4 linked regions of the Oreochromis niloticus genome follow. The protein of the gene in region 1 interacts with the protein of each later gene in a pairwise test. Links are inferred from orthologs where the notes say so. Each region holds a gene or a part of one and is shown in the gene's direction. Other genes may lie near its edges.

What was found.
Region 2: the proteins of stac3 (region 1) and srek1ip1 interact in binary tests that used the Homo sapiens proteins (3 or more experiments, as listed by UniProt). The two-hybrid records come from large-scale screens. The link is inferred for Oreochromis niloticus from reciprocal best matches to the Homo sapiens genes STAC3 and SREK1IP1.
Region 3: the proteins of stac3 (region 1) and eaf1 interact in binary tests that used the Homo sapiens proteins (3 or more experiments, as listed by UniProt). The two-hybrid records come from large-scale screens. The link is inferred for Oreochromis niloticus from reciprocal best matches to the Homo sapiens genes STAC3 and EAF1.
Region 4: the proteins of stac3 (region 1) and zcchc10 interact in binary tests that used the Homo sapiens proteins (3 or more experiments, as listed by UniProt). The two-hybrid records come from large-scale screens. The link is inferred for Oreochromis niloticus from reciprocal best matches to the Homo sapiens genes STAC3 and ZCCHC10.

The regions. Positions count from the first base shown.
Region 1 is NC_031984.2:24,445,032-24,452,762, forward strand, and holds the start of stac3 (SH3 and cysteine-rich domain-containing protein 3), read left to right. Parts: upstream 1-4,367; 5' UTR 4,368-4,680; intron 4,681-5,331; 5' UTR 5,332-5,364; coding exon 5,365-5,372; intron 5,373-5,842; coding exon 5,843-5,921; intron 5,922-6,339; coding exon 6,340-6,496; intron 6,497-6,604; coding exon 6,605-6,702; intron 6,703-6,826; coding exon 6,827-6,887; intron 6,888-7,731. Other genes in the region: mbd6 (methyl-CpG-binding domain protein 5), read right to left, coding at 1,319-1,434. UniProt on the Homo sapiens protein: Required for normal excitation-contraction coupling in skeletal muscle and for normal muscle contraction in response to membrane depolarization. Required for normal Ca(2+) release from the sarcplasmic reticulum, which ultimately leads to muscle contraction.
Region 2 is NC_031980.2:34,248,900-34,256,901, forward strand, and holds the start of srek1ip1 (protein SREK1IP1), read left to right. Parts: upstream 1-4,861; 5' UTR 4,862-5,007; coding exon 5,008-5,020; intron 5,021-6,750; coding exon 6,751-6,798; intron 6,799-7,105; coding exon 7,106-7,258; intron 7,259-7,522; coding exon 7,523-7,598; intron 7,599-7,914; coding exon 7,915-8,002. UniProt on the Homo sapiens protein: Possible splicing regulator involved in the control of cellular survival.
Region 3 is NC_031976.2:30,462,491-30,470,301, forward strand, and holds the start of eaf1 (ELL-associated factor 1), read left to right. Parts: upstream 1-4,808; 5' UTR 4,809-4,948; coding exon 4,949-5,051; intron 5,052-5,423; coding exon 5,424-5,518; intron 5,519-7,180; coding exon 7,181-7,317; intron 7,318-7,432; coding exon 7,433-7,605; intron 7,606-7,811. Other genes in the region: tRNA N(3)-cytidine methyltransferase METTL6, read right to left, coding at 2,138-2,280, 2,574-2,715, 2,996-3,166, 3,463-3,597, 4,096-4,386. UniProt on the Homo sapiens protein: Acts as a transcriptional transactivator of ELL and ELL2 elongation activities.
Region 4 is NC_031975.2:20,408,302-20,415,619, forward strand, and holds the start of zcchc10 (zinc finger CCHC domain-containing protein 10), read left to right. Parts: upstream 1-4,284; 5' UTR 4,285-4,378; coding exon 4,379-4,419; intron 4,420-7,318. Other genes in the region: hspa4a (heat shock 70 kDa protein 4a), read right to left, coding at 1-45, 2,008-2,114.

The DNA.
Region 1 (7,731 bases):
TGGTAGTGAGGTTCAGCAAAACTAGGAGTAAGGTGTCAGCTGATAAACATAAACTACTTGTGCATTTTTCAATTCCATCATAACATTCATGCAGTTTGTGTTTTTTTCCTGGTTAGAGCCACGGGGAGCTAATGGAGAAGGGCAAGAGAGCTACAGGCTTGAGACTCCCAGTCAAGGAGTAAAAGTTTCCCTCCTGACTGTACGAATGTGCAGAAGATAATTATTAAAAAAAGGTTTAATTCAATCCAGTTCAATGACAGAAACCACTAGTGTCATCTGCAAACACTGCTGACCCATATGAGAGTCTGAAGGACACAAATCCACTCCTGTGGTGCTTCTACACCTGTAAAATGCACAAACTGGCCCAATAATTAAAAAATATTCCATGGAGAATTAGCAACATATAGCATAAGTTCCTGTGAATCGTTAAGTCTCAATCAGGGTATATTTGAAAAAAGGCAAAGTTTCAGAGTCTTGCTCCAGGGCTGGGGTGTCTGGCATTAGATGGGTTATTAGTTAGTAACGCAGGTTATGGTTAACATTAAAGTGAACAGTTAATTTCAGCCAAGTTTCTTTCCAACTCAGTGGCTAAAAAGTATGAGTAATGAGTAATACAAAATTTCATATTTATAATGTCATATTTTATGTCTAAATTCAAGCATGATCCAAACCACTGTTCAACAAAAATATTGGTATCCAAATGAAAATACTTTTTTCTCTGCCTCAGCTACCCAGTATTTTAAGGCAAGGGGAATCCTTTCACAGCAAAAGAAGAGGGCAAGTGTGGAGTGGAGCACACCTGCAGTAAATCAAAGAAGTCTTTAGGTGATCTTCAGGATGAACGACTGATAACAAAGAAAAAAATATGTTTCTCTTTGGTAGAAACAACATAATATATATATATAGAAAGCCTAAATCTGTCAGTTGCTTTTGAGCCCTCACAAAGACCTGGTATGCTTGAATAGATGAGTATTTAAAACTACCAGAATAAGAATAAATAGAACCAGAATAAGTGCTCCCCAGAATAAATAGAACATTAAAATGAATACATTTAATTTTACTCGCTTTGCACTTCCTAAAAAGTGCAAAAAAAACCATTTTCTTGTCTTCTTTGTTGTCTATAGCTAGAAACAAACTTCAAAAAACGAATCCAAAACTGCAGTCATCCTGCCAGGTAATATCCCCCAAAATTTGTTGGCAAAACCAGTACTGTCATTTTTCAAGAATACATTATGTAACAATTATTCATGGTGTGCTTTCAAAATCTGTTGCCCAACTATTAAAAATCAGCAAGTTCATGTGTGTGGAACCAACGTACCTGACATAGAGTACCTGCCCTCCTTCCACTCTCCTCTGCCAGCCGATGGGGACGTGTATTGCAGTGGTGTGGACCCCATCCTTGTCCCCACTGACAGTATCACTGCCTCCCATCATTTTGTAGCCTGCCAGCACCTTAAAAAGCAGGAAGTGTTAACACATCTTGTCTTTTAACATAAGGAGGGGGGTAACATGAAGGTATCATGTAGTAACAGTTCAGCCTGTCAAGAGTGGACCCAGGGACTCTGCTTCTAAGGAAAGTTTAACCCTTGTGGTATCCCCTACTGCACAACTTTACTTAAGCACACGCGAAAAAACATCCAATGCTAAAAGGGGGGAAACAGTTGTTTAGTCTCAGCATCTATTTTGGGTTTCAAGCCATCTATCCTGCCCCCTCATCCTGCTATCTCTACATTATCCGGGTTGTCAAGGGTATCTATACTAAAGCCTCCATGAACCAGATGCTTACTCATCCCCACCACTTTCATCTGGGACTTTTTGGAGTCTAACTGGAAAAATAGTTCAATTTGTCATGCTTATGCTACAATAAATTTTGCTCTTCTCTTCTGAAAGAGCTTTCCTCATTTAACTGTATATTGTGCAAGTATCAGGGAAGTTCACTAAGCCTGAGTGAGTCACTGAAAAAAGTAAACACAAAAGATGGGTGAATGTTTCTGCAGTAAAGATCTTGCGATCATTAATGTTTTATTTCAACCAACCTGCATGCTTAATGTTGAGGTCACATTCAGCTTATTACACAACATCAAATATCGATGTCGGATATCAAACATTACAAAATGTACCCTATGCGTGGTGATGAAATCAGCCAAGATCTGAACTAAAGTAAGCAGCATGAACAAGGGAAGCACTGCAAATTAATTCCACTCTACTAATTCAGCATCATTTCCTTTACTTTTTAGCTATCATCTGTGTGTCAAAAAGTTCTGGGAAAGTACCCTGCAGTTTCTTTTCTTATGTCTGTGCTGAAGATAATACAAGCCCCTAGAGAATGAATGTGATGTAAACATGTTGAAAAGGGGGAGTGGCCACAGCAAAAGAAAGGTTTTTGGTTTATTATCAATGTAAAAGTAATACCAAGACAAACAAAAAGAAAGTTGCATACCTTGTCATCTTTGGGAAGCCAGGATCTGTTTTGGCTAGAGTATCCACTGTCCAGTGTACATGCTGGTGGGTTAGAAGCACACTGCCAGTAAAACCTGACTTGCCCAAACACCTCGACTTTCTTCAGCTATGAGGCAGATCCCTCACTTAAAGGATGACTCCTGCAGATTTATTAGTTCAGTTCACATCAGAGTAGGGATGTGGGTGAAGGTGGAGAGCCTGCAAAGAAAGGTGGAGGTGGATTATGTAATCTGGCAGCGACCCCCGCGGTAAAGATATCGTGCAATAAACCTATTCTGTAACTGATATGATCTAAGCGTGTTTGAAAAACGACTACATCAGATGTATTAGTCTTCTCCAGAAGAACTTCAGAGTAAGCTCTAGCTGCTTTGAAGTAGAAGGGTGTGTTTGCCTAGGCCCGTAGTTTACTCAGTGTTTAGCGACAGTATAAGCAGCTGCAACAACCAACTCCGAAGCGAACACCCTGGCACATGAAAGAGCAATTAATATAGCTCTGAACTGATGTATCCTTTTTTTTCTTAATTTTGTATCATAAATTGCGTAAAGTATGAAAAAACATCCCACAAAGTACACGGCTCATACACGGCAGCTAGCGTCCAGGCTAACAGCTAGGCTAGCAAGCTACCCTACTTTGTACTGTGTTGTCGTGACAGCTGTCAGGCGCACAAAACACTCCAATACAAAACTCTTGCCCGTTAGCTGCAGTAACAACATACGACCCACGCACAATACCGCGTTGTGAAAAAACCTCTTATAAATCGGATACCTACATCACACTTTACTTATTGATATCCGTTAGCTAACGTCAATAGTAGCAGGTCCTACCAACCTTTTCTCTGCGTCAGGCTCTGTGTTGGCGAAGTTTTGGAGTCTTGGCTTTTCTGGCTCGCGGGAGAATCAAGAGTTAGCTGGCTAGCAAACGGGCTAGCCAGATAATGTTTTGAAAACGGCTGATACTTTAATAAATGAGCGCAAAATAAGTCATTGTGTAATCCAATTCCCGCAGCGGTGTGCTCATTCAGCTCTCAGCATTCATACAACGTCTGCCAGTCCGACTTAAAAACAAAGGGCAATAACGCTTCATTTTACTGCGCCTGGGATCTCGGAGCTAACGCTGCAACCAGCTAGGCTAGCTAGCCAGTCAGCTAACTGACTGAAATTTACTTGATTGTGGAGTGTCCCGACAAGACTGAAGGATGTCCCGCTCCCGGTCTGCAGCTATCCGGCCGTTGTTTTGCTTTCTCTTCTGCTAAACCGTGGAGCTTTCAAATATATTCCGACAACCATAACGGCCCATGTAATCCCCAGTTCACAGTTGCCCACTGTTTTTTTTTTCTCACAAATTCCGAGCAAAAAATAATGGAGTTTTTACTGTTGAGCATGCGCATTAGACGCTTAAGGAATATTGTACCCGACATGCAACGGGACCTTTGTAGTGTTCCAGACAGACCTGAATGAAGCTGTGTTCAGCTCCTTGACAGAGGACATGATAATGACAGAATAATAACATGTGTTCACTTGACAATAGTGGATTCACTTCCGCCTGTCTACACTGCATTTGTGGCCCATATCACGAAATTTAAATGAAAAGTTAAACATACTCTATCCATTAAGGCATGTACATATATATATATATATATATATATATATATATATATATATATATACATATATATCTGTAGTAAAACATAGTAAGGGGCATATCATAACTGTATAGCACAACGATAATAATAATTAATATGCACAGAGATACAGCATGATATGGAATGCTTGGATGCTTAGCAGTGTTTCTGTTGTCTGTGAACAAGTGGGACAAGGGGAAAGAGATGTATTGAAGACAGAAGGAGAAAATGTATCTGATTTCCCCCCCGTCATCGGTGCTCAGTCCAAGGTCCTCAGCTGTTGCAAAGTGTCAGCTTGACATAGGACCGCTAAGCCTGGCATGCACACAAGCACACACCCAAAATCATAGATACACAACTCCAGATATACACTCAAACTACAACCTAAAGTCACTTTGGAAAATATCTAAAGAAGACAGAGGGACCAGACTTTGTGACAGCCCAGCATCCCGAGGGCCTGAAGTGAAGCTGCTTTGTAACATACTGACCATACAGGGCTCTGGTCATTGCCAGCAGGTGAAAACCCATTCACTGAGATTTTGCCAGCACACCGGATTTATGATTTCTTCAGTGCGATCTGTACAAATTTAGACAAAAGGTAGGTTATTGCTGTAGTTTAAAGAATGTTTTTAATGGAAAAAAATGTTTGTGCATGACCTGTGTTATAATCACTCAGTTTATTTGAATTAATTTGAGTGAAGTTCCATTAGTTTTAAAACACGAGCTAAACAACCCCAACTCTGAGATTATCTCTGTCAGTTTACAAACTATGATTTTTTTTTTTATTTCCATAACATTTTCTTAATTTTTAGTTGCTTTTTTCCTGGCTGACAGAGGCAGCCAAATTTAGCTGTGATGAGATTAAATTTCACAACCCTAGAATAGTATAGAAGACAAGCACATTCTAACACTGTGTGGATATGCAAGTGCATGTAGCGTTCACACAGACACAGAAATATATTTTCTATTGTATTACCATATTTGATATTTTTTTAAATACATTTTTAATAAAAAACCAAATGCAGGCTTATTTTCTAATATTTCTTTAAACTTCCCTCTAAGAAGTTCAGGAATATGTATTTGATTTTTCACCTACTTTGAAAACAATTTGACATAATAGTGCATATGGGCTAAGTCATTCAAAGTTTTGAGTAAACAAATAATTAGTAGAACATTCTCTCATGATATCACTTTTATCAAACTGTCTCATCTTTCGGGAAAAAAACCCACCTAACTGTTCACTTTCTAGGTGGGGGTGAACTGACGCTGTCTACATCAAACCATGGATCCGTAAGTATAATTCTTAAAATCAATATACTTGCCTCTTGATACTCATTTTATTGGCTTGGTTGTAGCACTTCTTTACCATTTAAGTCTTAATTCCATTTCCTGTTTACTAAATACTGAAGTAGCCCATGCCAGAAAAATATTCTGGAGCATCATCTGTGTCTAAAGCAGCTCTATGTCCACTTGAAAGAATGTGCGGCAAGGATATCCTTAAACAAATTGAGTCGTATATTAAATTGCCACGATTCTACTATTTTAAGGTGGAATGGGAGTTTTACTTTACTTGTGTTTTTTTAAAGTTTGTTTATAGGCAAAACCTTTTTCCTCGCTTTATATGCTTACATGTTCCTTTAGAATAAAAAGTGATCATAATGTTGAGAATAAATAAAATAACTATCTATAGTCGCAGCAGTTAACCTCACTCATGGCTGTGTGTGTGTGTGTGTGTGTGTGTGTGTGTGTGTGTGTGTTAGGGACGATGACAAAAACTCTGTGGATATCCATGACAACCCCCCAGCTCCTGACAATGTAGTGAGGGAGGACGGAGACACTGTGAGTGACAGCACCATGTCAACCCCCCGCCATTAGCAGTGCCATTCTTGGGCTGTTTAAAATAGCCACCAACTGGGACAGGGTTGCAGTGCAGCATCAGCTGGAAACAATATGAGCTTAAGTGTCCCTGTCTTATACAACCTTATGGAAAAAATGAGCACTGCTGGCTGATCTGGATTAGTCATCGAAATGTTATTCACTAGGTCCTGAAAAGCTAAATGTAAGACAGAGATCAGGTACCAGCTGATAAACAAACAAGGCAAGACACTAATGTAATACTTCATAATACTGTGTGACATTGACACTGGCAGCTCAGTATGTTTAACATTTAAAAACTTTAATAACAACTTATATAACAACTCTATCACATGTTTGTTGTTGGGGGTTTTTGTCTGAGATATGTCCCTTGGGTCTGCAGGTCTATTTCATATATGAGGAGGAAGTGGAGGTGGAGGAGAAGGAACCAGAATCTCCTTCAGAGCCCATCGTCCGGGTCAATGACAAACCCCACAAATTCAAGGACCACTACTGCAAGAAGCCCAAGTTTTGTGACGTCTGCGCTCGCATGATAGTCTGTAAGTGCTGTTTTTTATATTAATGTTATAAATAATCAATCATCATATAATCCCATAGGTATTTGTTCTAAAGATTGAGACTGTTAATTTTGGTTCCTCATCTTTCAGTGAACAACAAATTTTGCCTGAGATGCAAAAACTGTAAGACCAACATCCACCACTCATGTCAGTCGTATGTCGAGTTTCAGAGGTGTTTTGGCAAAATTGTGAGTTTGCTGGTGTGCACTGGATATGAAACTATATCTGCAGTTTCCTTTTACTGCCCTCGAGAGTGAGAGAGATATATTTTTTAAAACTTTTATTAAAAACTTTTTTTCTTCTTTCCTGTAGCCACCTGGATTCAGAAGGGCCTACAGCTCCCCCCTGTACAGCAGTGACCAACCAGACCCAAGTGAGTCCACTGAATCTGGCATGGCAATATATCTCTTGTGTATCTAAATTTCTTAACCTTAAATTCAAGGCTGCTACCGCAAAGGAAACTAAGCACGGTGTCTGCATTTCCTCTTTAGCAACACTTACGATCATTATATTTGACAAGGTGCATTTAAATATTTTTAAACTTAAACATGCTTGAAATGATTAATTTAATGACATTTTTAAAGAACAGTGTAAAGCAGACGCTCAAGCAACATTCTGACCTTTGTGTTGGGAAATAATATTTCTTAGAAAAACAGCAGAATGTATCAATGTCACTATAACACTGATCCTTTTATCCCAGTGCTTCATACATTTAGTTAACACTAAAATAAGAAACCAAGTAAAGTGAAACAGCAAACTCTTTTTTGTTTATTTTCCCTCCGTAATTCACATTCACTTACCTTCACTTTGTTATTTCCCCTGGTCCTTCGTGCAGCAACTGCAGTGGCTCCAACTGCTAAATATTAGTGATTTAATAATAAGAAGAATTTATCACAAAGGTCATGGTAATTTTAGCATTTTAATTCTTTGATTTGTTCTTGTTCCAGGGGGAAATGATTGTACAGCATACACCCTTAGTGACTTGAAAAAAACAATAATTGGGTGCACAAGTTTATAATATATAATCTATACAGGGGTCAAAAGTATACATGTGGTCTCAAATATTTACATACAGCCCCACTAAAAATTGGTTCAGTGTCTCTCAGCAAGTTGCACCGCAACCAGACAAATTTGGTAGCCATCAACGAGCTTCTGACCATTCATCTTGGCAGAATTAGCAGAATTAGTATAAATTTGTTGGCTTCCTGCTATCCAAC
Region 2 (8,002 bases), on another chromosome or scaffold:
TTTTAGCATCTATACCAATAACATGAGGGGAAAAGTGAGTCAACCAAAATGAAAACTGGCCTGAGAAATAAAGAGCTTTGTGTTATTTCTGTTTGACCACAAGATGGTGTCACTCCTTCCACTTTCCCCAGCCGATTGCAAGCTATTCCTCCTTCATTTAGAACAATTATCTGTGATGGTCAGCCATTGTTTGTGTTCTCGTGAATCAGTCTTGAGCGAGTTGTGATGTATAATTTGGTTTCCTCCCTTTTATAAGAACCCTTATTTAGCCAGGAACTCCTATTAAGATCAGATCTTTTTCACAAGGGGGGAGTTGGCCAAGCAAGGCAGCCAAAAACATTAAAAATGCAAAAAGCTCAGAATAAAATATAAGTCTTGATGCATTCTCAATCATCCAGGAAAGTAAATCTCCAAAAGTTGAATCTGTTCATCTGGACGTAGCGTTTTGTGGGAGAAACGTTTCGTCACTCATCCAAGTGACTTCTTCAGTCTCAGCTGACTGCAGGTTTCCCCAAACCTTATAAACAGTACATTTGCATAATGACTGAAACCAGCCCACTGAAGGAACAATGGGCAAAAAGGCCAGGACTCTGCAGTCTATTTACACCTACAGGCCAGTGGACACTCTTTCAATGATGAGGATGTACACATCCTGGACAGGGAAGAACGCTGGTTTGAGCGCGGAGTCAAGGAGGCCATTTACGTGAAAAGGGAAAGACCATCTCTGAATCGAGGAGGGGGCCTAAGGGTACATCTTTCGCCATCTTACAATGCTGTGATTGCAGCCATTCCCCAACTCTCTGTGAATGGTACTCATGGCCATTGATCAGTGGTCTTTGATCAGTGGGTTTTGGTCAGTGATTGTTGATCAATGGTCATGGGAATTTGCATAATTATGATTAAGGAACTGACCTCACAGCCCATTGTTCCTTCAGTGGGCTGGTTTCAGTCATTATGCAAATGGACTGTTTATAAGGGTTGGGGAAACCTGCAGTCAGCTGAGACTGAAGAAGTCACTTGGATGAGTGACGAAACGTTTCTCCCACAAAACGCTACGTCCAGATGAACAGATTCAACTTTTGGAGAATAAAATATAAGATTTCCTATTTTCCTATTTAGTCTAAATACATAAACTGTTCAATCCTTTCAGTTTCTCATTAAAAACTTCATGCTTGCCCACACTCTCAGAATAACCATTTGGCAAGATGGTAAAAATACCTTTGAATGGATGTATTTTTCCCAGTTGGCTGCGGTCGTGAGGTCTCAGAATCTGCTCTGTGAGCAAAAGAGTGACAAGATCACGGAATCAATGGCTAATAACATCATGGAGAAACTCGCAGCTATCCAACGGGAGATTGAGAGACCAGTGTCGGAGTGTTAAAAACAGGTTGAAATTCTCATGAGTTGTTTGCAAAAAGAAAAATCACCATCATAATGCGGCTACCCCTTCGGCGCCAGCTGTGGGCTCAAGGCTGGAGCTGAACAAAAACTTCCTGATAACGACTGTGTTGAGTCTGTTCCTTCACATTCCATACAAGGCCACCTGGGTTGGCTGGAAGACTGTTTACTTAGCCTGGCAGGGCGAAGGACACTGTCTCAGCACTCACTGACGCATCACCCTCCCTACCCAACGCCACCTCCAACGCTTACCTCCCCTCTGATGTGGACATCGGGTCAGTTGGAGGCGCAGTCGAAGATTGCAGCGGTCCCAGATCAGATGTACACACTGGAACACTTTCCCATGTTGCTTGTCTGTGTTTATTGTGTTATGGTGTGTTGATATCTGTGCATTCCTGTATTATCCTTTTGTGTTACATATTTCGATGTTTTTTTCCTCGCTACCTGGCCTGACCTGTCTCCCCAATGTGATGTTTGTATTGTATGTACGGTCGGCAAGGTCTGTCATCTCGGTTGTGGGCAAAAGACTTGCAACTGACAAATAAAGGCTATCTCATCTCTCATCTCTCATCTCTCATCATCACAAATAAAGGAGTATGACTTTTGAATACCTGAACAGGGCCTTCCTTACATCTGTGATCAGAAGTTTACCTACAGTCATCACAGGCTTGGTAATTTTGGGCTTTTAATTAATTCTTTGAACTGTTCTTTTTCCAGGGTGAATAAAAATTATGTGCAGAAATTCACAAATTTGAATTTATTTTGGCATCTTTCTAATCTACAGTATACATACAGCATACAGGCTAAACTATATATAGACTCACCTAAATCTTATAATAAGTGATGTTGGAGGTTCTATGATGTTTTTTAACTTGACATTTATCTTATCTTGACCAGCTAATTTCTTGTTAGTTGGTACAAGTTATATGACTGTGTGAGTCCACAATGATGGGAGGTATGTTTGGACGAGTAAAGGCAAGGCTTTCAAACCTAAGATCACTGTACCAACTGTCAAGCAGATTAACATTAAGCCTCTGGAACGGCTCAACCTCAACCCTATTGAAAACAACACTTAAACGTTGGGTCTCTACCAGGAAAACAATCAATTTAAATGAACTCTACCAATTCTTCCAGGAAAAGTGGTCAAATATCCAGTCAGAATTATGAAAGAAGCTTGTGGATATTCTTTGGGGCCTTTTAGTTAGGGCCTTTAGGGCCTTTTAGAGAATATGCTTCACTTCTGATTCAATGGTCTTCTCCAATTCTAAAACAAAAGGCAGAGTCCTGGGTAGTTATCCCCTTGTGGGGTTCGTCCCCTTTAGAGATGGTCCTGAGAGTCATTGACCCCATGTGAGCCAATGTGTGAAAAAATGGGTGGGTTGTCACCATCAGTAGGGGTTAATGGTGAAACCACTTTGAGAGGTTCACCCAAATTATCATGTGACCTATTGAGGTCATCTGAGACGTGGTATGAATTGAAGCACCTGGGAAGCGATCCCTGGTTGTGGTAACGACCCACACCTTTTTTCACACAAGTACCCATATGATGACTCACATGATCAATAGAGGGTCAACGACCCTCAGGACCACCTCCAAAGAGGACAAACCCCACTAGAGTTAAATACCTGGTACTCTACATCTTTTGTTTTAGAACAAAGAAGACTCTTGGATGAGAGGTGAAATGTCTTCACAAAACCTAAAGAAGTCCAGTTGCCTTCTTTTTTCAATCTCCTAAGAGTACCATGAACTGGATGACTGAGAACCTACGCAGACAAGCTTGTTGATGGCTATCGAAAATGTCTAGTCAAATGTAACTTGCTAAGAGATATTAAATCAAATAATAGTAGGGGTGTATGCATATTTTACCCCTGCGTGTATACTTTCGATCCTATGTGTAATAGAGAAAACACATTCATCCCCATGGTGATTGTATGTAAACTTTTGACCACAAGTGTAATCTAGTTTCCCCAAAAAGAATTCCCGTTTTATCACTACAGGACATTTTCCAGTTTTAGTAGGAGAACTGCAGTATTACACACCTACAGTATATTGTGTTTTTCAGCTCGCCCTTCTCATCTTGCCTCAGTACTTGTTGAATTTGGTGATAAAGGGATTTAAAAGTCTTTCGAACAGGTTAATGTACATATTCGGGTCTCAATATTGCCTACTGTATGCATTTAATGCTTATTTGTTAATGGTATACTTCAAAATCCCCCCCCAACACACACACACACACACACACACACACACACATACCAAAGAAGATGTTTCTATGTATTCTATGTATGTATTTGCTAATTCAATCTGACATGTAATCAACATTTAAAGGACCGGGGAATTTTTAGCCACAACCCAACTGAAAATAGCGTGAAGTTAAATGGGGCAAATTCATTTCCAGCTTTCCTGTATTCATTTTGGAAATCCTTCACTGCCTTTTGTTTTATTGGCTCTCTTCATCTGTGGTTTTCATTTGTGTTGTTGTTGGAAACCTATAGAAGCTAAATCCAGGTGGTCAGAAATGCTAAATAGTAACTAATTTGAGGTTGAAAATTACATAATACGAAGTTGTTTTTAGGAGTCTCTAAAATCTGTTTTATTTCCTTTAGTTTATGATTAAGCTGATTTGACTTGGGTCATGCAGTTCATGGATCATAATTTCTGCTAGTTGTACTGTAACACCTTGGCAGTTTGGGGGCTCATTTCATAGTATTTTTAGCATTTATAGTTTTATTTTAGTTATTTTATTTGCTTTAAATATCTTGCTTTTGTCTATATTTTCTCTGGAGCCACGTGTGCATGTGTGTGTGTGTGTGTGTGTTTTTTTTTTTATTTCCTGCAAGACCATAATAAAAAAAACTAATAATAATAAAAATGAGGTGCAAAAGTTCTTTGACCGTGCTGAACTTCAGAGCTGTGAGGCATCATATGTGTAGTTGGAAAGAACCTCATTTAGATATTAAAGAAGGTAAATCACATCATTAAAACTAGCCCACGCTAAAGCATGTGGCATCATCAAAAGATCAGGACTGAGATTGTTTTCGTGTATGTGTGTCCGCGCATTTGTGTCACAGCCACAGACATGATGATGAGAGCATGTCTGGGGGCCATGCATCTGTCAACATTTTCCATCTGCCAGTCCGACTCTAGCTGCCTGCAATTAACCCCTTACAAAAACCACAGCTGACTTTACTGGCAAAGCAGTCATGCATGGTACAAATATTTCAGGGTTTTTTTCTTATAGCGTCACCAGGGTCTGACGATGGCAGATTCTTCATAGTTTATATAAGTGTAAACATTGGAGACAATAGAACATTATATTTAGATTATTCACTTTTCTATGTTTTGTTTTTTTCACAAGAAATCCTTGTGAAAATATGTCACACAGTCTGCTGCGCCAACTCCTTTCCATCGGGCGGCGATAATGCGCCACTAGTTTGGTTTTCCTGCCGTCAGTAGGGGAAAAAAACGCGAACAAAAGCAGGGGGAACGCGGTAGTTTCTAGAACAAGTGTTTCCTGTCGACGTTATTTGGTGTGAGGACGCTGTTGGCTGATTCGCGCTATAACAACAATAAGTTTTGCTGTTTGGGGGCTTTATTTTGGACACAGTGATGGCTGTACCAGGTGGGAATTATATTTCAAATGTGTAACTTACTTAACTTCGCAGTTTCTATTGTATTATTCATGTAGGTTTCGCTGGAATGGTAAGAGCTGACAGGGTAACTAATGCATTGGTAACACAAAGTGGGGCTTACGTTTACGCTAGCTTAATGTATTTTTAAAAACACAGACCCTTTGATGTGAAGTCTGTGCAATGACTAACCCAGCGAGAAACTTGGCTACGTTTAGCACACGTGGTTACATGACGGGTGATGTACAAATTGGCGTAAAGCAGAGTACTTGTAAATGTCCAGATACTCCATATAAACAGTCATGGATTCGATTTTAGTACTTTTTGTTAGGATTAACTCTTGTAAGTAGCATTAGGCTTATCACCTTTTTGGTTGAGTAGAGAGAGTAAAATAATAATAATAATGATAATGATAATTATAGCAATAAATCACACAACATATACACTCAATTAGTCACTTTATCAGGTACATCTGTTACCCTTGTTGCTTTTTAAAGTAAATAATCAATCAGCTAATCACGTAGCAATAAGCTGGTGCATTTAGTCAGGTCGACATGGTTAAGGTGAGCTGCTTAAATTCAAACCGAATATCAGAATGAGGGGAAAGGTGATTTTGAGTCTGCTGTGGTTGTTAGTGTCCGATGAGCTGGTCAAAGTATTTAAAGTCGGTAAACTCAGACTAAACAATCTATGGGGTTTTGAATGGAATGAAGAAGAGATCATATCCAGTGAGTGGCAGTTCTGTGTAAAATGCCTTATTAATGCCAGAGGTTAGAGGAGAATGGCCAGATGATCTGGAGCTGATGGGAAAGGAACAGCTATTCAATCAAGGTATGCAGGAGAGCATCTCTGAACGCACATGTGAACGTACATTTTGAACCCTGACACAGAAGAGCCCACAGCAGCAGAAAACCACACAGGTGAAAACTGGACAGTAGCTGATTTGAAAAAATGTTGCCTGGTCTGATGTCACTGCAGCTGTCAGATGGTAGGATCAAAATTTGGCATAATCAACTTGAAAACATGGATCCATACTGCCCTGTATCAGCAGTGCAGACTGCTTATGGTAGTGTCATGGTGTGGGTGATATTTCTTTGGTACACTTTGGGCCCCTTTGTAATCCAACAGCCTACCTGAATATCATTTTTAACCATCCACCCCTTGATGTCCAAAGTGTGCCCTCCTCCTGATAGCTGCTTCCAGCACTAGAATGCGCCATAACTCTCAAATAATGTCAAGCTAGTTTCTTGAAGATGAAAATGAGTTTTCAAATGGCCTCCATAGTCAGCTGATCTCAATCCAGTAGGACACCCTTAGGAGATTCACGGCACAAATGTTCAGCCGACAAGTCTGCAGTAACTGTGTGAAGCTATCATGTCAATCTGGATCAAAACCTCTGAGGAATGTTTGCAGCACCTTGTTGAAGCTTTGCCATAAAGAATTAAGACGGGTCTGAAGGCACAACGCAGTCCAGCCCTGCACTAGCAAGGTGTACTTAATAAAGCAGCTTTGAGTGTATACCTACTGTATGTTTTGGGTGCTTAAAAGTCAGAGTAGGGGCTCATTCTTTATCACCCTTTCAGCACTTTATATAGAGCTCAACCAGTATGTTCATCTTGTAAAGGCATATGCATTTAATTACAGGTTTACATAGTAAAGTAGTTGGTGAATGTGAATGCATACTTGCATGTAAATCATTAAAAAGCTCTTAACAATCTTACAGGACCTAATAAGGACAACATCAGAGCTGGGTGCAAGAAATGTGGCTATCGTAAGTAAAACTAACCATTATTTACTACAAGCTTCAGAGATGTGTGGATGTTATACTGTTATGCTTGATATGCTCCCATATTTACTCAGTGAAAAAAGATTTATAGATTTATACAGTTGGGATGGAGTCTGTTTTATGGTGCCTCTTACCCAGCCTTTGAGCCAGATTTATTTTGGAAGTAAATTGTAATTATGTTATTTATTTATTTTTTGACTTATTCACATTTCCTCTTATGAGTTTCAAGGTTGAGGTTCAGAGATGTTAATAAAAAGTGTCCTCACCGCTCTTTCTGACTTTCATCTTTCAGCGGGCCATTTAACATTTGAGTGCCGAAATTTTGTTAAAGTGGACCCTCATAAGGACATTGTTCTGGATGTGAGCAGCACCAGCAGCGAGGAGAGCGAAGATGACGAATCTCAGGTTCAACGCAGCGAGAAGCGAAGCGGGCAGCATCAAAAAGGTCAGATTTGATTAACCTGCCCTTGATTACTGTAAGCTTTTAAAATATGCATTCATTTACTGCAAGGCAATTTGCAATAAATATAGCAGTTTTACATAATTCAGCATCCAGTCAACATCAATACAAGCTGGAGCTTGAGTAAAATCCAAAGTGTGGATTTTTGCAATTGGACAGCAGTTATTTTATTAGCTCTTTATCTTTATTTATTTATTTTTGATGAGGCCTCTTAGTTATGAGATTAAAGGTGCTGCTTTTGCGTGGTAGGTTCCCATGACAGCGATGATGATAGAAAAAGAAGACGAAAACGGAAGAAGAGCAAAGAGAGAAAGTCAAGAAAGAGGTAACCTAAATATTTTTCTGATGGCCCAATCTACTTGTTTGCACATGTTCATCTTATATGAGTTGATGTATTAAGATAGAGCTATGACAGTGTTGTAACATACTTGTACTCCACTGCAGTCATCCTTGTATTTATAGTACCTGAGTATTTACTTGCACTATTTGCACAAGTCAGACTCGGTATATATTTATTACCTTTGAAGCTTATTCGCCTGCTTTTCTGAAATGAAAGTGTGTTTACCTTCATAGATAAACTGAGTTGTTTGATTTGTTTTTTCTTTTAATACTCTAATACTCTTTAATATATATTTACTTAGATCTGATTCATCATCGAGCGACGAAGAGGAGGTTTCAAAAAAGAAAAAGAAGCGCAGCAGGTCGCGCTCTTCCTCTGATGAAGAGCGT
Region 3 (7,811 bases), on another chromosome or scaffold:
TGTTTAATTAATGACAAAATCTCCATGATCGTAATCTACTACTAGTCTAGCTGTACTAATTAGCAAATTATGAAATTACTGTCTACTGTCATGAAAATGAAGTTGAGTTCCAACTAAATAGAAAAAGACTGTTTACATAAAAAGAAAAAAATAATTGATCTTTAGAGGTTGTATGACAATATTTGTTCATGTTTAAAAACATACATGAACTGTCTAAACAATATAGCCCACTTTACTAGCTCAATATATTCCAAGATTGCATTATGTTTTAATATTCATATTTAATATTTTAAACTTTACCCACATCCCATTCACTCAAATCATTGTCATTTTGGATTATTTTATTTGACTACATTAAATTTCACAGGGATGTATGAACTTTTGATACTCATTGTGATTTCTAAAGACGCCCAAAATCTTACGTTTCACCCATGGGTGCCATCTGTTTGGGGTTTTATATTTTGGTCCTCATCTGAAAATGGTAATTTCATATCTGCGACATGAAACACTGTGATGCCAATAAATTGCACTGTGTCAAACACCAAATTACATTTCTGTGTTGAGAGGCACAACAAACCTTTAGTGAGTTCTAAACTAGGAAAGCCAGTGGGCGACACAGCTGCTGAACAGGAAGCCACATTTAGCGCATGTTGCAAGTTGCTTGACAGGCCCTAAACAGATTCACCACAGTGGTCTTTTGTAACAGAACGTACTGTACAATGAAGGCAAATGTACATGAATGAAAAACGTAACTAAACTGCATTCACATATAAAAGCTCTCACATTTGTTGTTAAATTGAAACAACAGCAAACATATGGATCTTGGGGAGCAGCTTACGGTAATGTAGTAAGGGCAGTTCTCTTTTAGGCCTTTGTGTGTCACAGTTGAGAATCTTGATAGCTTTGTGCTCATACGGCTTACAGGTGTTTATGCTTCAAAAAAACTTTTCCAGTGCGATCAATGTTCATTTTTAACAACTAAATTGTTTAATATGGAGTCCTCCAAATGAGTACAAGGAGCACAAAATAAAATAAAATTTTTCTGTCATGGATTTTTCTTTATTGTGTTTCCTCCATTAAATAGATTTTTAATTTATGCATTTTTAGTGGCCCGTGTTACTTTTAGTCTTTGAATTGACAGCCACTCAGAAATTAAAGGAGGAAATAAAACGTCTTCACAATAAATATTTAGATTCAAAGGTTGTTCGCACACTTGCTCATTTAATTTTTCATATAGACTGAAATGTCTTAATCTACAAGTGGAAAAAACATTACAGAATAATAATTTATAATTAATAGATAATTTAATTATCTAGGTTGTATTTATGTTTTGGACAATGCGGATGTCTTAGTTTGGCATCCTAGTAGCCTTAAAGGTTTCTTCTCTGTTTCTATACAATGAACATGAATGAACACAGGGAAGACATTTTCATTTAATCGTCTGAAGGATATTAAGATAGGTTTTTTTTTTAAAAAGGGTCAAGATTTAGTATGTTTATTCTTAAAAGTCAGGATATCCGTGTATCCACCACAGGGATTCGTGGCCCGTAAAATGTGAACCATAAACAGAATGAGAGACTTTGCTTTTTCATCCTCAACAATTGTTTAAAAGTGGGAAATTATAAAACACAGATTACCATGTCCTCTCACAGTATATGTGGGAAATATTAAAATACATTTATTAAAAAAATACATTTTTAAATGATGACTTGAACTCAATATTAGGGGAATGAAGAGCAAGAAAGTCATAATTCTATTAGCAATCAAAATACTGGTTTATATTTAAAGTGTTTCTCAGAACTGTATCACAAACTGTGAAAGTTTTTACAAAAAAATGTGACTTCAAACTGTTCACGCTTTAACAACCATGTTTAACGCCTTTTCTTTCCCCTGAAAAAAATCCATTCGAATCCCTTTAGATGTTGGCAGCAGAGCTTTTCTGGGAGCCTTCCTCAGGTGGTTTGGTCAGCAGATAGCAGGTGTACATACTGCTAAGTTACCTGTGATGGCCCAATTTCCATTCTGGTAAAGTTTTGGCAAATATTTCCCTCATCTTTTACTGTCCAGTTTTTATCTGACATCTCAGTGGTATGTTTTGCCAAACCTCTGTAGATCTGTGAGGCGACAAACGCAAAGTTCAGCTCTCTGGTTTCATAAATTTGCTCTGCAGGAAGACTCTGGGTACACAAAGTCCCTCCTTCTTGTTGACAGTCTCTCTAAGAACATAGTCATTAGCAACGCACTTGAAGCCCGTCTTCTCAAACAGCTCAGCCAGGAACTCTGAGGGCAGTTATAAAAAAAAAAAAAAACAAGGTTTAGGGATTTTCTGATGTGTCATAAAAAGATGAAATGCATAAAGTGAGCCTTCTCTACTTGAAAAAGTTATCTCAACAAAGTGTGACCTAGGAAGGAGAGGTCAATGTTCTTGCATATGAACGTGCTGATATTCTGAAATAAAAGGTGTGAAGCCTCAATTCACACATTTCTAAACCGGTAATATATATCTATCTAATTATACAACTAAGCTAAGTTAGTATCAACAAAAAATAACTTCCTGAAAATAAACTACTGACCTTTAGAGAAAAAGTAGGACCTAGTTCCATCTTGGCGTACATAGAAGTTCTCTCCCAGCTTATTTCCGGATTTAAATCGGAGCATGGCATGGTCATAAAGTCCGTAGTCCCTGAACAGGACAAATCCTCCAGGCTTCAGCACCTTAAGATCACATGCAAATCACATTAAACTATTTCAATCTGACTAATGTGGCACATTAAAAGCATATCTAGAAATTAACCACCAAATACATCATCAGATTAAAGGCTTCTTTCAATGAAACATTTATTTTTATCCACATTATGAGTACAGAAAGGAAGTGCTTGTGTAGTTCCAGTAAGAGAGAACTCTCCCACCTATCATAACATTTCATTTAAACTTTACAAGCTGTTGAGAGTACAGACTTATACTAAATCTATCCACACGCCATGTCTGCTCTCACCCTGCTAATGTTCTCCAAAACCAGCTTCATTTTGTCAGGATGGACAGCAGACAGGACGAAGATGAGTGTGATGACATCCACGCTGCTTTCCGGCACATTTTCCATCAGGTCATCTTTAGTTAAATCACACTGGAAGGCACAACAGCGGTCGGGGCAGTACAGAGGGTTTTGCTGTCAACACAAAGAAAACAAAGGAAAGAATTTTATTTACAAAATTAAGTATTTTTCTTTTTCTCTTTATGTTGATTCCAAGAGAAGAAATTCTGAAGTCCCTCATATTTTTCTCTAACAAGGGAGCATAAAATCAAAATGCTGTCAGCTGGTCCACTACAGCAGCTAACTATATATCCCATGTATCTAAAGCATATTTTAGGGATCCTTCAGTAACCAGTAGCAAAATAATGAGATTGCATTCAATGGATTCAGCCAGTACAAAGTAGTATTACAGCTGCACTAATAGAGCTTACTCTGACAAATTCAACAGCTCGTGGTGAGAAGTCACAGGCATAAACAAAGATGTTGAGGTCATCCTCGAGCAGAGGGAAGATGCAGTTTCCAACACCACAGCCTGCCTCCAGCAGCACCAACTTCTGGGACTCAAACTGCAAGCCAGATGGGACAAAGACAAATTAAAAATAGACACAAACACAAGGTATTAGTCTACTCATGTCTCTCAACTCAGCTCAATAATTTTTTAATAGTGAAACTCCAACAACTCACTTAAAAACTTTTACAATATCCTTTATGCTAAATTACTTTTGAAAGTTGCAAGCTTTGTGTTTTAACTGACCTCTAAATATCAGCTTTACAGAAAACCATTGACTTTATTAGGTGGTAATTGAGTAACATGAGAAACTACACAGCTGATAATCTAAAGTCATGTCCTGTGAAGCCTCAATTTTTCTTTGAATTGGCAGTGGAGTTTAGCAGGGTGTCCATTGTACACATTAAAATCAGTCATTTTTTATCTATTTCACATAATAACACATGCATGTCAGTCATACAACTCAAATATTTCAAAACAGACACGGTAAACAGTTACATTTAATATCCTGTAAAAGTGCCTCCTCTGGTGTCATCTGTTGTAAATATTTCCTCACCTCTCGGCATGCCTTGAGCTCTTCAAATTCCCTGGTGGTCCAGTGTCTATCCTTGAAGAAATTCGTTGTGTTTCTTTTGTAAAACAAGTCCCAGTTTTTCTGCGCTTCTTTCTCCAGCTTCATCTGTTTAAAGTCAGACACCAGAGCCCGCTCACCGTTCAGTCTTTCCTGCTCCTCCAGAGTTAAAACCCTGGCAGTGGGGGTTTTCGCTTGGTCTTTCGACTCCTCTTCTTTTCCAGGATCCGTACAGTTAATATCACCACTGAAAATCCCACTTTCTGACAATGCCATGATAAACTGCCCCAAAGTGTCTCCACCTTCTGTTTATACTCGTTTATGGAAAAATAGACTTTTCAAACATGCTAAACCCAATTAACTGATTAAGAGTTTTATTTTAAAACAAATTCGAGCGTAGCCGTACTTTTTCCACATTTAATGCATCCATGTTGTCCGTTAACTAAATTATGTCGTGTAGTCTTTACTACTTAATTCCGTTTCTCATCGAGTGGCGCGTTTTCTATAATTACTCGTTACTGAGTAAATTAAAGCACTGGAAATATTTTCATGATTTAATATGTAGTGAAATGCGTTGTTTTTTATTTGAAAAATCTTGTACTTTACTAAAACAGGTGAAGTTGCTAACACAGCCCGCTTTCGGCGATATTTGAGAGCCGGACCAAAAGCGGAAGAGGCGTGGCCACGTGATGTTTTGCTAACTGTTAGCCACAGCAAGCTAACTTTGTGTTGTAGTTGGCATCTTATTTTGATCCTGCTCAACTTGCCAGATTGCTCTCGGCTCTTCGTGGGATTTGACCTAAATGCGAGTTTTAGTAACTATTAAACCAACGGAGCCATGAACGGGAGCACGAATCCGCTGCTGGACAAAGAGGAGCATGTTTTGAAGCTCGGAGAAAGCTTTGAGAAGAGGCCAAAGTCTTCCTTTCACACCATCAGATGTAAGTGTGACAGACTGCGCGATGTGTTAAATAAAACTTTGGCACCATACAAAGCGCACTGTTAGATTACTGTTGTGTCAGACTATCTTTCTCACATGGACGGAGAGGCTGTGTCTTACACAGTCTGTGTATGGGTAATTACATGGAGAAAACAATTAAGTAATTATTTGTTGGAAATGGTGTGGCAGCATTATACACAATGAATTTTATCTTTTTACTCCCCATTCTCAGGTTTTAAATCTGCGTTTATCGGCTCATAATCTTTCGATATTTGTTTAAGAGACATAATAAAATGTTTATGTAATTATAATTACCTACATACAGTGTTTCCTAAAGCACCTGATTAAATTATCTGTTGTATCTCCTTTTCAGATGACTTCAAACCAGCATCGATTGACACAAGCTGTGAAGGAGAGCTTCAAGTTGGGAAAGGAGATGAAGTTACCATAACACTACCTCATATTCCAGTAAGACTGCATGATGTGCACGTCTTTCTGTAAATTAAGCAAATAATAAAACAACTTCCATTCTTTTAGCATCAAATTCTTTACCCTTAAATACTGACTGAATTGGTACTACCAGGAAGTGTGGCACTTGCATGTTAGATGAATATCTGTTCTAATTCTATACTGTGCAAAAGTTTATAAACACCTTTTCATTTCCTTTTGCTTCCAAGCTGTGAGACTTTCTTGTAGTTTTTTTAAGTTGGTTTGAGCAATACTTTTCCAGGTTTCGTCAAGGTCTTTTTGAGTGTTCTTTTGCTTGTTTTTTGGGGGGGTTTTTTAAACACTGGCATTTTTTGCTCCTTTCAGTCCAGTCCTTGTATCATTCATTGTATCATAAGATAAGATAAGATAAGATAACCTTTATTAGTCCCACACGTGGGAAATTTGTTTTGTCACAGCAGGAAGTGGACAGTGCAAAAGTTATGAAGCAAAAATTAGAATAAAATAAAATAAGAATAAATACAGTACACAACTGTACAGAATAGAATAAAATAAAATACTATATACAGTAGAATAAAATAGAATAAAATATACAATGAGATAAAAATAGAGTACAAATGCTATATACAACTGAGTAAAAATACAACGATGCCAGAAAAGATTATTGCACATTAGTGTTATTGCACATTTGTGGATGTGTGTGTTTGATCAGTTAAAGTCTTTATTGTGGAGTCTGACAGCAGTGGGGAGGAAAGACCTGCGAAATCTCTCCGTCCCACACCGTGGGTGCCGCAGCCTGCCACTGAAGGAGCTGCTCAGTGCTGTCACAGTCTCATGCATGGGGTGGGAGATGTTGTCCAACAAGGATGACATACCATACCATTTCCAGAGGGAATTTGTTTCTAGCATTGCTAGTATTTTATGCCAGTCAATTTATAACAGATTGCCTGGCTTAAAATACCATAACATTTGCACCAATCAGGTGATTCCCAAAGAGCTATTAGGTGTATACATGGCATATCTCAGCATGGTTTGCAGGGAATCCTTAGAAAATTAGTGGAAACGTGAACATTTAGAAGATAAAAGAATAAGTGGTAGGCCTAAAAAAAACAAAAAATACAATCTACATCAGATGAACAAAATGTGAAAGTTGTGTCCTTAAGAACAAGTTGTGGATTGACCTGGACCTCAACGTTATTGAAGCAGTGTAAGATTATTTTGACAGAGAACAAAACAAAAGGCAGCCAACATCCAAAAAAGAGCTTTGAATGTCCTTCAGGAAGCATGGAGAACTATTCCTGGAGGCTACTCGAAGAAATTACAAGAAAACTTACTTAAGAGAGTTCCGGCTATGTTGAGGAATAACAGTGGTCATACCAAATACGGATTTTCAAGCTTGTTTGATTGTACAAAGTCTGTTTTTACCTTAGATACTACATATCTATTTATGTTTGCACATTTAGAAATCCAGTATCTAAGGTAAAAACAGAGTTTGTACAATCAAAGCAATTCAAACTGAAGTCAGTGAGTGAGTCAGTCACACCAGGAATAAGGGATGGCTCAAGACTTTTGCACAGCACTGTATAATTATACCTTCTTGCACTGTTTTAATGTAATAGGGTCTGGCAAAATTAGCCAAGACTGTCCATATTTAGTCCATACATTTTCTTTTTTTTCTTTCAGGGCTCTACCCCTCCCATGACAGTATTCAAAGGAAACAAGCGGCCATACCAGAAGGACTGTGTGCTCATCATTAACCACGACACCGGGGACTTTGTACTGGAGAAACTGAGCAGCAGCATCCAGGTCAAGAAAACTAGGTGAGATATCAGTGATTACAAAATTAAGGTTATTGAAGTGGGAAGTTCAGGCTGGCTTCTATGTTACTCTTAAATATATCCAGGTGAAATCACATCTGTTGTGTGTGTTTTACAGGGCAGAGGGCAGCAGTAAGATCCAGGCCCGGATTGAGCAGCAGTCACTTCGGTCCAGCCAGCCCACCTCTCAGTTTAGGGCCCCCACTAAACCCGGGGCTGGGATCAAAACCTCTCCTTCCCCGTCTAAGGACAACCCCTCCCCAGAGCCTCAGCTCGATGACATCAAGAGAGGTAAGGAAGGCGATACACGCCCACAGCTCATAATAGAAGAGTTATTTGTGATGTTAATCCCTTAATAAAGTTTTTTCCTTAAACACACCTAAGTATCACATAGTTCTAAATAAATATTAGGACATTACAGTTTGTTATAAACTATTTTTCAATAAATGCTGAATGTCTTTGTGTTAACTGTGGCAATTCCCTGCTGTTCTTAACAG
Region 4 (7,318 bases), on another chromosome or scaffold:
GCAGCTCCTATCGAACGATTTCGGGGTCCAAACGATACAAAAGACCTGGACACACACAAGTCAAAATGTTAAGCTACATTAATGACACAACTAGCAGAGCTTCACATGATAGTTCAGTGGCCAATCTACACTGGTCACAATTTTTAACTAGTTGATCTCAGCACTTTTCTAAATAATCCTTGTTGAAACCTGGACTGAGGCTCCAGACTGGCTTGTTTAAGTTTTGCGTTGTCTGTACTATGTAAACACAGGCTGAAGTGGTGTGGTAAGTCCACTTAAATCACACAGGGCTTGCCTCTCATCACCATCTCTATCAAACACAGATGCTGATGACACACAGCAAGCGTTGCTATGAACACACAAGTGGAGTGTGGTGATGTCTAAGATTTGTCAACAATACACGTCTCTGAGGAGAGTCACTCAGCGGATGCTGATCTTCAATCAAGAGCAGGACAGGAAGTTGTATGGTAAATGGACTGGTTGTTATAAAGTGCTTTTCTATTCTATTTGAGCACTCAAAGGACTTTATACAGTGATGCTTGTGATGTTTATGATGTAGTAGAGAGCAAGTTCACAAAAACAGTTCAATATTTGTCAAAAAATGTCCAATATTCATAATTTTTCAAAATTTAATGCAACATATTTATGTGGGCAACAGACAAAACATTGTGCAAGTTACCAGGAAAGTATTTGTTTTCTTTTTACTCAGTAAGTATAAGCCTTTACAGACCAAGTGTGTTACGAATATTCAACATGAGATTCTGTGTTTAAATTCTGAATGTGAATTTGTCGTGTAATATATAAACACACACCAAGAAACTGATGTATAATCTTTCTATTCACCAAATTATCTTATACATGATCTACTTCTCTGACACACGTTTGCCTTGTAAAATTGAATAAAACTAAATAATTTTTAAAAAGTCCAGGTTGATTCACAATAAAGACAGCAACTTAATGATGTATACATATTTCATATAACCATGACGTAAAACCCATTTTATATATATGAAATTTTTCTGACTTAGTAGTAGGTGCACAACTAAGCATAAACTGGGCATTAATGTTATCTTTTTCTTTCCCTGTTTAATACAAACGTTATAAATAAATTACAATATAATAACTGGTCTTATTTCATTTGATTATTACTCTTTGGGAGGAAATTCTAAATTTTAATGATACATCTATAAATATACCAGTTAATCATTCAAAACCAGTGACTGTACTTATGCAGTGTATAACATTCAGTAACTGTTGTCTGCTTTATATTAACGTTAAACTCTTACAAAAGAGGAAATACTGTAAAGACTAAAAATCAGTCAGGATGACTGAAATCTAACTGATGGAATTACAAAATGCGCCATGAACCCAAATAAGCAGAACTCAAACAATATTAAACAACCTCTCTGATAACAATATGTTTTTCATATAATAAGTAGTATATAACCTTACACCGTTTAAAAAGGCAAAAAGACATAAAAATTTGCTAGAATATTCCAACAAGAGATTGGCCGCTGTCGTCATCGTACAGAGCATAACGCAAGGCGTACAATTTGCCACACGGGGCACACCGGTTGGTCGGAGCTTACGCCTTGAAGACAAGTACCACTACTTAAAAACGACAGGTGGCAAACACCGCCCGGTCGTGTTTTAACCGGCGAAGCCACACCAATTCTCGAGACTGTCATTACCGTTAATAAAACTATGAGCTCAGCTAACTTGCTTAGCTCGCCGGAGCTTCATAATCGGTCTTTGAAGGTGGTGTGCGCCTTATGAGTTAATTTCTAGATGGTTCCATGTTCACCATAGACAGGCTGAGAAATGTGTCACTAACTTACACGGAAAAGCAGTTCAATTTCCCAGCAATGAGCACAAATGATCGCTGAAAGCAGAGAAGCTGCGTTCACGTGTATTACAGCGATGCCGGTGAGACAACACTTATAAATGAAAACCTGTCCTCTGTAGCTATCCTTCACAAACTATAATAAGATTTTACTTGGTACTTACGGTGTACATCTGTCGCTGTACTCATTGGCGATTGTCTCGATTCCTCCAGCTCGGGCTACAGCTACATAGCAGCTTTGGAAGCCCAAGTCAAATCCCACCACTGACATCTTCAGCGATATGTGTCTCCTAGGTTTAGCTTTGTATACAGTATGATTTCTGTAAAGAAAATAAACCTGTAACTAGATTTTAAAACATAAAAAAGATGCTCCAGTCAAGTGAAGTTGTTAAGCTGCTCTGTCTTAAATACTTCTACTCATAATCCACACCGCTGATTGTTGCCGGTGTCTCTGATGTGTGCTGGCAGGCTGCAGCGGCAAGGTCTGCTTTACTAACGTCTCGCCCGCAGACATCGCGAGATTTACATGGTTCTAGAGCTCTCTGGACTTTTCCATATCCACGTGAAAGACTGTTCTCCAACAGTCGAGGTGTAGGGAGAAAACTCCATAAATTTCTTCTTATTTAATAAAAAAAATAACCTCTAAGTTTAAGGTTTACCGTGACAGTAACTGAAATCAACAAATGACTAGCTTGATGATTTCTGGGATCGAATCAGGGTGGGGAAACAAAAATAGACTGTGATGCAAAAAGTGATGAAGTCATTTTTTGTCCCCTTTTGTTTTTTTGTTTTTATTTCATTAGAAATAAAAAATGTAAATGGCCCAGCTCAGAACGAAGTCGTCGGGAAAATAAGAAAATATAATAACATTAAACAAATTAATTATAAATAACTAAAGCATAGCCATTTTAAAAGTTGTTGTTACTGAAAAAGATTCGTTTTTAAATACGTTCTCCTTTAATACTTAGTAAATTTCATGATATAAAATTACCAATCATTATAAATAATTAGTATAAAATAGTAGCTGACATAACACTTTTTTTGGTTTGGTTTGCAAAAACAAAATGTCATTTATTTAAGAATCTATGAAACAGAAAAGAGAGCTGATGACATGTAAACGCAGCTCTGACAAATCGTAAATGTGGGTGGGTGTGATGACACTTGACTGCTGAAAGTGTGCACTGTGTTGGTGACAGATAACTGAATGCTTAACCTCAGTAACTGTTTCCACAGAAAGTGGAAATAAGAAGCTGGGGAGAACTATGATAAACAGAATGTTTATATCCCATTATATGCTGATTGTAAACGTAACATTATTATGTGAGGCACATTTTTTCCTTTAATGTAGTATAAATGAATCACATGTATCACAGTACTGCACTAAAGTCTCATTTATTTATATTTTGTTTGAAACATAGGAAATCGATGCACCAAGATATTGAAAGATGTTCAAACCAAATGAAAATACAAGAAAAAACTGAGTTTGTGAGTTTGTACACATATTTGGATAATGCTTTTGCTGTATTGGCAGTGCGTTTGGTATCACTGTCATGCTTTCCAGACTATATTGCGTGGAGGATCAAACTCTGACTGTGCTTTTCTGCAGTCATAATTTATCAGTTTTAACAAGATCTCCAACACCATGAGATTTACATGATGGTGGAGATTCATGTCTGCGTTTTGTTTTACAGATTCTGCAGACACTCACAGTTGTACCTCTCTCCTGACCTCTTCTGCACAAACTGATGACGATTCAACTCATAAATTTCAAATTACTCTGATTTTCAGACCACTTTTTTTTTTCTAATTTAGCATACCTCAGGCTGTTTCCCATTCTTAAGAATGGCTTCTTGACACTCACTGAGACCATTTCGTCAAACAGTAGATGGATTACGAGAAGGGCCAGTGTCAGGTCTTTACTGGATTTTGTCCTGTTTCTTAAGGATGACTTTGAGATACTTCTCATCTGCAGAAGAGAGCTTTTTTTGTAATTGTCGATTACAATTTAACAATATACAATTTGAAATTGTGTGTTTAATTGTCTGATCTGTGTGGGCACCATACTCATTTATCCCTTAGATGGCTTTTTTATGCTTGAATAGGTCAGAGTTAAGTGTATTAAACAAAAACAAAACATTCCTCAGGAAATGGTTACATACAAAGACTGGACTGAAACAGGGAAAATAACAGTGAATGTCCAAAGGAAAACTTTGACAGAATTCAGGAAGCATGCAGAACTATTGCTCAAGACCACTTACAATAATGTCCTGTTTCTTAGAAGCAAAATATCAAGAATGATGAGGAGTTGCTCAAGAGTTTTGCACAGTATTATTAAAAAAAAAAAAAAAAAAAAAAAAAAAAAAAAAAAAAAAAAAAACCACTAGCCAAAACGTCAGGGCTGCTGTTAATTAAATTTTAATGATTATAAATACATGCAGTAGACCATCCTTACCCATAGGAGGCGATAACGGAGTTGATTGGACCGGAAATACGCGCTGATTTAACGCCAACAAAGAAGAAAAAGTAACCTGCAACATGGCGACTCCCATGCATAGATTAATAGCCAGGAGGCAAGCGTGAGTATGATACTATTAATCGACTGTATCGCTGTGGGTTTTGTATATTCGTGAGTACTACAGGCTGTTGAACAGCAGTGAGGTTCAGCTGCTCGAGCTCTGTGTCAGACTCAGGGGCCGGTGAACAGTGAGCGCAGCTCCAGTGCGCCAGTCTGTGCTCTACATCATTATTAGCTTGTTTATTCTTGTAGAGGGTGCCTGTTCAAGGCTGGTTGAGGCCGTGAATGCCACTGTTGTCACACTATCTGTTTCAGGAACGACAAATGAAATGTCGGGTGTCTGTCACGTTTCTGCGCTCACTTGTTTATAAAAGTCAGGCGGATTTTTGAGTCTGCCGCATTTTAGTGTCTGTGAGGAAATATTGAAAATATTTTTGCATTGAATTGCAACACAGGAATCTCCCGCTGATGCTCGTTTTTTCTCCTTTTCCCAGCCATTTATCACTGGTCTCGAGTTTGCACCTGAACTTATTCTGATACGTGAAAATGATTTCATCTCTTCTTGAGCAAGTAGAACTGCAGGGTGGTGCTTCTTTTCATTACCGTTTTTCTTTAATGAGCATTTAAATTCATAAGAATAGGAGGTCAGCCCATCTTCATATACTCTGCATATTTACTCACTGTAGAACAAGCACCTTTAAAGCACTGCTGAAGTTAAAACTTCCAACTTCTTCAGCAACTACAAAGCTGTACTTTTGTAAAGTTCATGAACATTTACAGTTGTGGTCATGGAAATTTGGGGCTTTTAATGATTTCTTTGATCTGTTCTTTCTCTAGGGTGGGATTACTGTACAGCGTACATCTTTAATGACGTTAAAAGAAAGCAAGAACAGGTTTAAATTTATTTTGGATTTTCTCTAATCCACATGGCATCAAAAGTGTATATATACAGGCTTAAATATCGCATACACCTCCACTAATATTTGGTTAAATGTTCTTTAGCAAGTTGCACCTCAACCAGATTCATTTGGTAGCCATCAACAAGCTACTGTCAGATTTTTGGCTGGATATTTGAGGACTCTACTTTGCAGAATTGTAAGAGTATATTTAAATTGGTTGGTTTCCTAGCACTGACCTGGTTTTTAATTTTCAATAGGGTTGTGGTCAGGGCCTTGGGAAGGCCATTCCAGAAGCTTGGACCCCCCCCCCCCCCCATTTAAAAAAACAAAGTTTTAATGTTTGCTCAGGATCATTATCCATTTGGAACATCTAATTGTGTCCAACTTCCAAATGTTTAGCTGTTGATTTGAGGGGAAGTTGAAGAATTTGGAAGTAGTCCTCCACTTTCATTATTCCATCAACTTTGTGCAATGTACAGGTAGCGCTTGCACGAAAACAGCCAGAGAGCAGGATGCTACCACCACCATGCTTGTTCTTAGGTTTAACAACCTCACCTTTACTCCTCCAAACATACATCTTGTGGTTGTGGCCAAATAGCACCAATTTTTTGTCTCGTTAGACCATAAAACCTTTCTCCAGAAGCCATTTGACTTGTCCATGTGGGAAGCAGCATATTTCAGTTGAGCTTGAAAGTGTTGATTTTGGAGCAGAGGCTTGATCAGCACCCTCTCAGTCTATGGCAATGTAAAACTAGCTTCACTGTGGACCGTGATGCTGATGTTCCAGCAGTTTCCAGTTCATCATCGGGATCGAGCGTTGGTGGTTCCTCAGTTGTTCCTGGGTGACACATTTGAATAAAATTTCTCCAATACAACTTCCCAGTTTGTGTAAAACTGGAATTCTCCTTCTTACTGTGGATCTTCAGTAAGTTCCTTGGGCTTTCCCAGTTCAATCCAGTAGGGCTGCACGATTTTGCATAAAATGAGAATCACGATTTTTTTTTTGCCTAGAATTGAGATCACGATTCTCTCACGATTTTCTTTTCCAATATAAATATTTATTGCACTTATTAACTGCACATCAACTTCGTAACAGTTGAAACTGAACATAAAAACAATAAATAAAAATAAAAACAATAAATGCCTCACATTTTGTGGTTGCCGCAAAATGTTGTACTGCTTGAAATTCTGTCTCCACCGTTGCTCGACACCGCGTGTATAGAGCAGGTAGTGCAACAATAGAAAAATAGTTGTGGGACGGCACTGTGTAGCGTTTGTCTAGGGTGTTGATCATTTTCCTAAATCCCTCGTTTTGCACAGTGTTGATATATCTTTGGTCAGGTGATAAGTAATAGCCTCCGTAATTTCTTTGAGCCTGCGGGAGTTCGACGTGTATAGGGAAGCGCTGTATAAGGTTCCCGTTATTGATGTTTGGGTGGTTGACCGGCACAAATTTTCTCCTGTTACTTTCTCGTCATCCCTGACGTGTTCTCCGTTGTTTTTTCCCTGCCAATTTGAGCATCACTGCACAGCTTCTGTATCACGTGGTATAAGGCTCCGCCCATGTCATTTGTTGAGCAGGAAGGGTGAGCGCTTGTTTTCATGCAGATTACGTCCTGGATCAAAATGCGGTACAATCGTCGTCCTTTTTTTTTTTTTTTTTTTTTTTTTTTTTTTAAATCGTTGTCATTTGGAAATGAGATCGCACATAAGTATGAATCGAGATCGCGATTTTCTAACGATTAATCGTGCAGCCCTACAATCCAGTGAGTGCTGTAAGCCAAATCCTTTTTATGCTGGCAAAGAGAAACTACCACTTGCAGTCAGTCATGATCACTAATGATAAGTTAATAGGCTTTGACCTTTCATGTTAAAAGACATTGTGAAACCTTCAATGCCACTTATTAAAATATTTAAGGGAGTGTATGTATATTATTTAAGCATGTATGCATACATTTGACACTTTGTGGGGATAGAGGGGAGAAAAAAAAGGAATCCAAGAAAGTCATTAAAAGTCCAAACTTACCATGACATTAACACCCATGATGAGTGGATGTAAAC